Linked DNA regions of Rattus norvegicus. The protein of the gene in region 1 purifies or fractionates together with the protein of each later gene. This does not show direct contact. Links are inferred from orthologs where the notes say so. Each region holds a gene or a part of one and is shown in the gene's direction. Other genes may lie near its edges.

Region 1 (5,156 bases):
ACTATGACGTGAGAGTGTTTGGATCATCGCTCCCTGTTAAGATCATGGAAGCCCTGGCGATGGCTGAGGGTAGGTGTTGTCTTTTCATTTGTCCCCATATTGGTCAATAACCAGGTCACATGTGATAACACTTTGGCTTTGTCTGGTAGAGAAGTAGGCAGCCTGCTGAGTTCTCCTCATCCCTAAGACACTGGTCTGTGAAGCTGAGTGAATCTTTCTAACACAGTTACACCAGTGATTCTAAGAACGATGTGTGTACTTCAGTCCCTTATATCCCCAACTTTTGAGTTGATTAGATATAGGGAATTTAGCTATAGAATCATCCAAAGTGCAGTACCTTGCGTTGTTAGATTAAATAGTGTTTTAGAGTCAAGTTCTGCCTCCAGTTCTGGGTTCTGAGTGCTGTGTAGTGTCCCATAAGTCATGTGACAGGCCTATGGGGTTTCGTGTCCTACAAGTCATGTGGTAGACTCATTGGGTTGTTATTAAGTCAGTATTGGGTTATTATCATATCTTTAAAGCCTCTGCTGGCATAAAGATGATGCAAGAGTTGGGAGGCGTCAATCACAGGGAAAGAAGAGAGAAACAGGGAAGGGCAGACCAAGATGCCATCATGTCAGCCCAAGTCGCTTCATTAACAGGTCTACTGGACCTTTGCATTTTTCTAGAACGATGTTTGGCAAACTACAGGTTGTGACTGAAATGGCTTCGGTGGTCATGACAAGCATTGAAGGGAGACAAAGTTTTAGAATGCATCTTAGCATTTTTTAAAAACTGTATTTTATGTATGTGAGTATACATGTGCCTGTCTTCAGACACACCAGAAGAGGGCATCAATCCCATTACAGATGGTTGTGAGCCACCATGTGGGCACTGGGAATTGAACTCAGGACCTCTGGAAGAGCAGTCAGTGCTCTTAACCACTGAGCCATCTCTCAGCATTTTAACTTAAAACTTTTATATTTGTGTGTGTCACATCACTCAAGGTCTGTTCAGTCCCAGCATGTTGGGGTCAGAGGGCAGCTCTCAGATCATGAAGCCTGAGCTGTGGGCACTTACCCACTGAGTAGCCGAGGATAAAATGTCCTGTTGTAAAGGACCGTTTACTGTCCCTCAGCTTAGCCACCCTGGCTGCCAGTCCTTAGGCTTTTGGTATGGTGATGCTCACACTGCTACTCTCTGCCCTGTGTCCTCCTCCACCTGCCTTCCCCCACTTCATTCTCTTTTTGTCACCCTGAAATGTTTAATTCTTACTGAGTTTAAATCTCTGACCATACTTCTGGGTCATGCCATGTCTGTGTTTAAACAGTACGTAGCCTCCCTCTAGGGATTCAGGAGGGAATCCCAAGAAGTTGAGAGCTACAGACAAGAGCAGTGTAGACTTGAAGAACTTGTCTACATTGCAGGTCTGACCACATCTAATGTTGGGTCAGACCTGCATGGGGTGGGGGCTGAACACTCCTGCACAGGGGCTCCAGGTCAGCAGAAAGTCCTGCACAGCTCGGGCATGTTTACACAGTTAGCATGTTCCTTTCCAGTGCTGTGTGCTTTGCACTGCCACCTTGTCTAAAAGCAAAGAGCAAAGCTCAAATAAGATTCTCAAGGCTGTGAACACATTTATGAAGGCTCACCCCCACTCCCTAGACACAGTGGTAAATTGACTTACTTTTTCCCATAGTAAACAATGCTCTTGTGTTTCCTTATGATGAAATGATTTACCATATCTTTAAGGAGCTCTATTTGAACATTATATTCTTTTGGAGGAATGTGGTAATTTCTTTGAAAATAGTTGTTAATAAGAGGGTTATTGTTTGGTTTATCAAATTATAAGTGATTCTTACAGAAGTAAAATTGTCTCTGGTTTTTGAGGGTTAGACCCGACTGACTTCAAACTCAAAAGAGATCCACCTGCCTCTACGTCCAGAGTGCTGGAATTAAAGGCATGTGCTACCATGCCTAGCTAAGATTCTTTATAATAGGGCTGGAGAGATGGCTCAGTGGTTAACTGCACTGACTCCTTTTCCAGAAGTCCTGAGTTCAATTCCCAGCAACCACATGGTGGCTCACAACCATCTGTAATGGGATCTGATGCCCTCTTCTGTATGTGAAGATAGTGACAGTGTACTCATATATATAAAATAAATCTTAAAAAAAATTAAGAAAAAAATATTCTTTGTAACAAAAATTAAAGAGTATTAAACATATACTCTAATAATTTTTGCCTTTGGATATATTTCTAACAGTAATTATCAGAACTAAATAACTCATTTTTGATAGATTAATCTTAAATATTTGGAAGTTATGTGACTTGCATTTTTAAATTAATTTTAATAATATATTATGATAATTGCCTCTGTGTATGCCTAAGTATATATGTGTACCATGTGTGATTATGAACCTGTGGGTGTCAGAAGGGTCGATTGGCTCCTCTAGAACTAGAGTTATAGGTGGCTGTATGTCACTGTGTAGATGCTGGTACTAGAACTGGAGTCATAGGTGGCTGTGTGTCACTGTGTAGATGCTGGTACTAGAACTGGAGTCATAGGTGGCTGTGTGTCACTGTGTAGATGCTGGTACTAGAACTGGAGTCATAGGTGGCTGTGTGTCACTGTGTAGATGCTGGTAACCAAACCCTGGTCCTCTGCAGGAGCCGTAATGCAGCTTCCTGTCTTGGTGACTAATGTGGTAAAAAGATGTTGCTATAAGGAGATGAAACGACTTTTTCGTGGTCTGGATATGGGGTGAACTGTGTGCCTTATCCCCTCAGCTGACGACCAGCTCTCTGTCCACGTCGATGAAGGTGGGTGGGCCTGCCTAGTATGCAAAGAGAAGCTCCTCGTTTGGAAGATTGCTATGTCCCCTGTGACTAAGGTAATAGCCCTTCAGATACCCAGTCGGGAAAGGGATCCCAGCTGGCTCTTTATTTGCACCTTTATTCTTTGAAGTTTATGAGGACAGCCAGTCAGTCTGTGCAAGCATTGAGAATTCAGGATATGGGAGCTTGTGAGATGGCTTAGTGGTGAAGAGTTCTAGAGGTTCTGAGTTTAATTCCCAACAACTACGCAGTGGCTCACCATCTGTAAGGGGATCTGATGTCCTCTTCTGGCCTGTGAGTGTACGTGCAGCAGAGCAGGCATACAGTGAGAAGGGAGGGAGGAAGGAAGGAAGGAAGGAAGGAAGGAAGGAAGGAAGGATAGAAGAAAGAAAGAAAATTAAAGAAAACCACCAGATTTTTAAGTAAATAAAAAAGCAGGATAATTAAATACTGAATGTACATCTATAGTGTGTTGCAAAATCTTCTCTTTTAATATTTTATTTTTATTGATATCTTTAGTTTTTTTTTTTTTTTTTTCCTTCTCCAAAGACCCATTGATTACAGGTCAAAAGAAATGAACATGCACTTGAGACACTACTGTCTCTGAGCTCTGGGCTATTGTTGTAGAAAATTTTGATTCCAGTCCAGGGTTTCTACCCTGCCTTTGGCCATTGAGTTCCTGGATAAAAGACACACAACCTTTATATTTAGAACAAGCCTTAATCAGCACGAGAGCTGGGCAGATGTCTGCCCTCCGTGGTATTAAAAATCTATTTTCCTATTGATAACACCAAGTTATAATTTATTGCACTTCATCTGGCCTGCTCTGAACTCCAGTTGGTGGCCCTCAGGGCCACGTTTCCGTGAGCTCACCTAGCCATGGTGGCGTCTCCTCTCATTTATCCTTTCACACTGTTCTCTGATGCTACAAGCTGCTCAGTGCTCTCTTCCTTGCAGTTGAGGTTCTTCTGAAGGATCAGCTCTGTCTGTTAACTGAGTGCTTTCTACGTTTTAGTGAAAGCCCAGCACCACGTTTGAGAGGGTGCTTTCAACCTTGGAGACCTTGGTGTAATTTCTCTATGGCTATAATAGTTTTACAAGTCAAATAAATTATTACCTCAGCTAGCAAAGTTTTGCTGGAAACCTGGCCACTTCCCCTAGCCCAGTGGTTCTCAACCTGTGGGTCATGACCCTATAGGGGTCTCATATCAGATATTTACATTATGATTTTTTTTTAAAGATTTATCTATTTATTATATATAAGTACACTGTAGCTGTCTTCAGACACACCAGAAGAGGGCATCAGATCTCTTTACAGATGGTTGTAAGCCACCATGTGGTTGCTGGGAATTGAACTCATGACCTCTGGAAGAGCAGTCGGGTGCTCTTAACCACTGAGCCATCTCTCCAGTCCCTACATTATGATTTCTAACAACAGCAAAATCGCAGTTTTGAAGTAGCAATGAAATAAGTTCATGGTTGGGGGTCACTGCAACATGAGGAACTGCCTTAAAGGATCACAGCATTAGGAAGGCTGAGAACCACTTGTACAATAGAACCTTTGGCCTGGCACAAGCACAGGCTAGTTCATATAGAAGTCCAGTTTAGTATCCCTGGCTTTGTTGTTGGTCAGAAAGAGCTGAGAATAGAAAGGCTATTGTGGGATAGTGTTCAGGATGGACTCATGGAGTCTGCAGAGGATCAGAGGAGCCTGCATGAACACCCTGGCTGGAATGTAAAGGGTTTGCTCTCTGTGTTTGCCTTGCAGTTGTCTGTTTGCAAAGACCTCCAGCTGCCCCCTAGCGATTTCCACTGGAGTGCTGATTTGGTGGCACTGTCTTATGCTGCAACCTCAGGTGAAGTACATTCTGTTCAGGTATGTGCGTAAAGATGATGAAGGGGCTTTCGAGGTGGCTCAGTGGTTAAGAGCCTGTGTGGCTCATGCACAGGGGATAAGCTCAGTGCTCAGCACCCACTTTGGGTGATTCATGGTTGCTGGTAACTCCAGTTCTAGGGGACCCAACAATCCTTTCTGACCTCTGTAGACCCCTGCAAGCGGTGAGCATACAGACAAGCAGGCGTGCGTGCACACACATATTTTTAAAAAACATTCTGGAAAAGGTGATCGAGAGGCTGGTGTGGAGGTGCACACTTTTAATCCCACCCCTGGGAGGCAGAGTCAGGTGGCTGTAGGAGGACAGAGCCAGCCTGGTCTCTGTCAAACTCCAGTGAGCTCAAACTAGACAAGGTGAGGCCTTGTCTCAAACAAACAATACTCTTTGTAAAATGAGAATATGAAACAGCAAGGTACAGACTGAGGACATACTCATAAATCCAATTT
Region 2 (5,156 bases), on another chromosome or scaffold:
TAGCTGTTTTTCTATTAAGAATAAACATCTATTATAGAAAATTAGATACTCCATGCTTTAGTACATGGACGGTCTTACTAAAGAATGAATGAAATAAGCCAAGCATGGTGTACACCTGTAGTCCCAGTGAGGAGGCCGAGGCAGCTGGGCCACCAGTTTGGCAAGACTCTGTGTTAAACCACATGCTACAGTTGAGGGTCATTTTCAGAAACCCATGGTTGAGGTATGTGGTTAGAGCAGGTTTGCTAGCCTCTGTGGAAGCCAAAGATCGACCATTGGTGTCTTCCAGTGAACCTGGAACTCAGCAATTGACTAAACTGGCTGGTCAGCGGACCCTCCCGATCCCACTTTCTTTTGCCTCCCAGTACTGAAAATGTCGACACTTACCCTTTGTCCAACATTACACATGAGTGCCAGGATCTGGACGCAGGTCCTCCCCTCGTGCTTACACAACAGGCATTTTACCCACAGTTCTCGCTCCACGGTCCCTGGTCCTAAATACTTAGGGTCTTCAAAGCCCTGAGCATATATGACATTGTAATTTGGTCACGTGTGACATTTCATATCACTAATATTCCTCGGGTGCTTGAGCATCCTCCTGTGGGATATTTTCATGTTTTAAGGGTTCTGGTGTTATATTAGACTAGGCACCTTTTATTAGGTAGCCGGAGGTACTGGAGAAATTTGAGAGCCAGGGTCTCATTTTGTTTGAAGTTGACCACAGTGGAATCATATGACCACAAAAGGTAGCTAGTGCTGCAGACACGAGCTTCCCCTCTCCCAGAGAGCTGTTTTCCAGCTCTGGATTTGTCTTGTAATTTTTTACTTTTAGTCCTAAGTAGTTCTGTTTGTTGAAGTGTTTTTCAAAAGTTTGCAGAGATGGATGAGGCATTTCTCACAGATGGTGAAATTTCATGCACGCCCTAAAAGAAGCATGTGAAAGAAACCATGAATAAATAGATCAAACATGTTGAACATGATACTAAATTCTTAAATTCCTTTTTGGTTTTTTTTGAGACAGGGTTTCTCTTTGTAGCTTTCTTTGGCTGCCCTAAGAACTAGCTCTGTAGACCAGGCTGCCCTAAGAACTAGCTCTGTAGACCAGGCTGGCCTCAAACTCACAGAGATTCGCCTGCCAAGTGCTTGGCTTACAGGCGTGCACCACCACTGCCAGCTAAACTCTTTTTTTTTTTTTTTTTCTTTTTTTCTGGAGCTGGGGACCGAACCCAGGGCCTTGCGCTTGCTAGGCAAGCGCTCTACCACTGAGCTAAATCCCCAACCCCCAGCTAAACTCTTGTTAGCCCTAGAAGTACATGAGGAGCTTAACTGGAGACCGAGGTGCTCTGAGAAGCCGACGATTATGATGTTGCTCCAGGTAGCCTAAAGCGTTGTGAATATTGATTTGTATTTTTACAGTAGGAAGGGTGTCTTGCCATCAGTGGCCTGAGGTATAATTTCTGTTAATCATAAACTGGTAGTGGAGTTGTCTGATGCTGCCAGTGCATTCCTCTTGTTAAGAGCCACGGCTTTCATGGGCTAGGGAGATGACTCAGTCAGTAAAGCACTTGATACTCAACCTTTAAGACTTGAGTTTGGATCCCCACAATTCATATAGGAAACCGGCGTGGTACACAGCCCAACAATGGGGGAAGGAAGGGAGAGGCAGGATGCTTGAGAGCCAAGTAGCCTGACCTAGTGTAAAGTCCCAGTGAAAGACCTGCGTCAACCAAGGTGGAAGGCACCTGGGGACCAGCCCAGAAGGCTGTCCTCTGACCTCCGTAGACACACTCCTGCTTCTCCTTTTGTGAGTGCACACACAAAAGGTCAGAGGAGCCTTGGTTGGAGTTTGGGTTTGTTGGGTTTTTGGTGAGTAGTGGTGTTTTAGTTGAGATAGGATCAGGCCAGCTGGACCCCAATCCTGTTGTTTTTCTTACCCCTACCTCCTGCTGGAGCTATAAGTCTAGGCCGTCATGCCCAGCCAAAGTCATACTAGTAAGATTTGATGTCTGATGTTGGTCAGCAGTCTATTTGTGTCTGTCTCTCTTTGTGTCTTAGTGATGGGCATATCACACAGAACTTGTTTATAATCGTACTCTTTATTAGCTGAGGCACGGGTAGTGAGTTCAAAGTGGCATGTAATCTCTGCTGCTTCTGTAATCACAGCACCTTTGCTCTGAGGTACTATTTAAAAGGTTCAAAGGAGAGTGCATGCTACATTTCTTTTTTATTACTTACTCTACATCCCTCTCATTGCCCCTCTCCCTCTCACCCCCTCCCACCATTCTTCCCCCTACCCTTTTCCTCTGAGCAGGTGGGGCCCCACACCCGGGCACTTTATTTTTAAAAATGCCTTCATTTGCATGTAGTAATTATGTCTATTTTGCTTCACATTTCCATATATTTATATGACATTTTGATCATACTTAGCTCTCCTCCCTTACCCTTTGACCCCTTCCTCCTAGCTAGTTCCTCCATTGCTTGTCCTTCTTTTTTTCCTTTGTATGATTCAGATAGGGGTGGCTAAACTAGTCATCTGTGTTGTATATAACCTCCTACTATTTTGCAACTTTAACTTTGTGAACTTTTCCACATCCCACCCCCCGCCCCCATTAGAGTTAATTGCTCATAATGAGAGGAGCTGAGGGTCAAACTTGTGAGCAATAGCTTTGTGCTTCCTGGTCCCGTCTTTATGATGTGATGGCATTGACTTTGAAGCGTGAACTAGTCATGGACAGTGAGTGGGCTTACTTAAATGAGAAGTTTTTGCCATCACTTCTGTCTCCTGATAATGGGTGATAAATTTGTATGCTTATATTGTCTTTGGATGTTTTTGTCTTTCTAATGTGCACCATTTGTTCCAGGATTTTTGCTGCCACATGTATGATTGCCTTTTGTTGTTTTTAAACCAGACAGTTACAGGTCAATGTTTTGTTTGTTTCTCACTTGTCTTTAGCTAAAAACATGGAGGCCGCTGCCCAGCTGAAAGAATTGGTGTCAGATATATCTTCTCGGTTTGTGGTTTCCCCTCCTGCCTTGAGAACCAGGCAGAAAAGTACATCCAATGCTTCCAAGCTTCTAGGTGAATTGGTAAGGAAGGCATGGATATATATATTTATTAAAACTCTCTGTGCTTATTGGGTTATTTGTTTGTTCGTTTGTTTGTGTGTTTGAAGTAGACTATATACCCCAGGATTGTCTGGAAGTCATGATCTTGCCTCAGGCTTCTGAGAGCTGAGATAAAAAGGATTTTTTCCCCCTATGTTGGCTGTTCTTGCAGAGGACTCAGTTCCCAGCTCCCATCCTCTAACTCCAGTTTCTGGGGGATCCAGCGTTCTCTTCTAGCCTCCTGGATGCCCAATATTCATACATATGAAATAAAAATAATAAATATTTTTAAGCAAGGTAATTTACATTTATATCAAAAGTCCAAGGGCTCAGGTTTGCTATCATCGAGACAGAGCAGCAGTAATTTTCTAGTTACCCATTAGGATGAGATAGGAGGCCCTCCTTCTGCGTTCAGTTCCAGCCTGCTCTGTGCTTAGTCCTCAGCCAGCCCGGGATGCATCTCAACAGCAAACAAACAATCCAATAGTAATAAAAACCGTGGCCCTTAAAATTAAAGAGACAGTAGATCTAAGTAGTGCGCTGAGTAAAGCCATCTCTGCCCGAGTGCCTCTGTGGACACAGGAGAAGAGGAGAGAGACCTCTCTGGCAGAAAAAGCAACAGGTGCAGGCGTTCAGAAACATGGCAGAGGGGTCTGTCTGGGTAGGATCTAAGGGTTTTTAGCAATACTTGACTCCTTGTCTGAGCAGGATACTTTTTAAATCAATACTTTGAATGTTTAATTACAGCTAGACGTAGTGGTGCATGTCTTTAATCCTAGCACTTAGGAAGCAAAGCAGGAGGTGGACCTCTGAATTTGAGGCCAACCTGGTCTACAGAATGAGTTCCAGGACAGCCATGGGTACACAGAGACAGAAATAGAGAAACCCTGTCTAGAAAATCAAAAAAGTCTTTATTGCTTAAACAATATATATTTTTAAATTTCTAATCCATAGGAGAGTAACCCTAAACCAGTAGAAATCATAGAACAAAAACCAAAAAGAAGCAGGACTGTGAAGACAAAAGTGAGCAGGTAAGCAGCATCCCTCCATCCTCTCCGTCCATTCCCTAGACTGAGAGGAATTAGTAGAAAAGGTGAGGCCACTTCCCACACATGCCTGGCTGCTTAGCCTTGGTAGAGCTCAGCGCTTGAAGGTAGCATTCTCCACAGAGTGAAGACTTACAGTTTATTGTCCACTGGGCATGGTTGGATGAGACGATAGTTTGCTCTTTAATTAAAGTCCACAGCTGTTCATTCCACTACTTAGCAATATTACTGCGCGTGCAGTAACTGAGTCACTTGAGATATCTCTGCGTAACAGGATTCTCATGCTGTTCTCTTGGGCATGGCTAAAGTTAATGAAGGTACAAATTCATTCATAACTGTGATACAGTTGACTTAATGACGCTGCTCTGATGTAAACTTGTCTGTGTGTTTGTTCATGATTCATAGACTCACCACTTGCTACTGTTGATAAGCGCATGGGTGGGTCTGCTGGCTCTCATCCTGTGAGCTGACTAGGTCCTTGGGCCATCCTTTAACAGCAGCATTTTAAACCTATCTGTGACTAAGTATTCGTATCAGCACACATGGGGCTGGGGTGGGAGATTGAAGCCTTAACTCTGCCTACAAGTCAGCCACATCTGTGCGAGAGTGAAACACTTGACAAGACAGCACGTTGTGGCCATTCCTACTTGACTGTGTCTTTCTTTCAGAAACACAGGAAAAGGAAGTTCTTGGTCACCTCCCCCTATAGAAATTAAACTGATCTCTCCCTTGGCAAGTCCGGTGGATGAAATAAAGGTCAGCAAGCCAAGAAAGACTGCAGAAGTAGCAGGAAAAACTCTTGGAAGGGGCAGAAAGAAGCCATCTTCTTTTCCAAAGCAAATTTTACGCAGGAAAATGCTGTAATTTTTAGCCCAAGATTTTAACATGCACCTGTTTGTAAAAGTCAACAGTATTTGTGTGGATTATTAAAAGTCACCCAATTTGGATGGAAATACTTTATATAAATTGTACAATTTTGTAAGCAAGTAAATAAGTAACTCCATG

The links. Proteins that work in one complex are often made in the same cells at the same time.
Region 2: the proteins of Nup133 (region 1) and Ahctf1 purify together in Homo sapiens (affinity purification with western blotting; 3 studies listed by BioGRID, with this or other methods). This does not show direct contact. The link is inferred for Rattus norvegicus from reciprocal best matches to the Homo sapiens genes NUP133 and AHCTF1.

The regions. Positions count from the first base shown.
Region 1 is NC_086037.1:68,831,042-68,836,197, reverse strand, and holds part of Nup133 (nuclear pore complex protein Nup133), read left to right. Parts: coding exon 1-69; intron 70-2,647; exon of another isoform or gene 2,648-2,767; coding exon 2,768-2,871; intron 2,872-4,583; coding exon 4,584-4,691; intron 4,692-5,156. UniProt on the Homo sapiens protein: Involved in poly(A)+ RNA transport. Involved in nephrogenesis.
Region 2 is NC_086031.1:94,015,190-94,020,345, reverse strand, and holds part of Ahctf1 (protein ELYS), read left to right. Parts: intron 1-2,953; coding exon 2,954-3,087; intron 3,088-4,059; coding exon 4,060-4,136; intron 4,137-4,819; coding exon 4,820-5,015; 3' UTR 5,016-5,156. UniProt on the Homo sapiens protein: Required for the assembly of a functional nuclear pore complex (NPC) on the surface of chromosomes as nuclei form at the end of mitosis. May initiate NPC assembly by binding to chromatin and recruiting the Nup107-160 subcomplex of the NPC.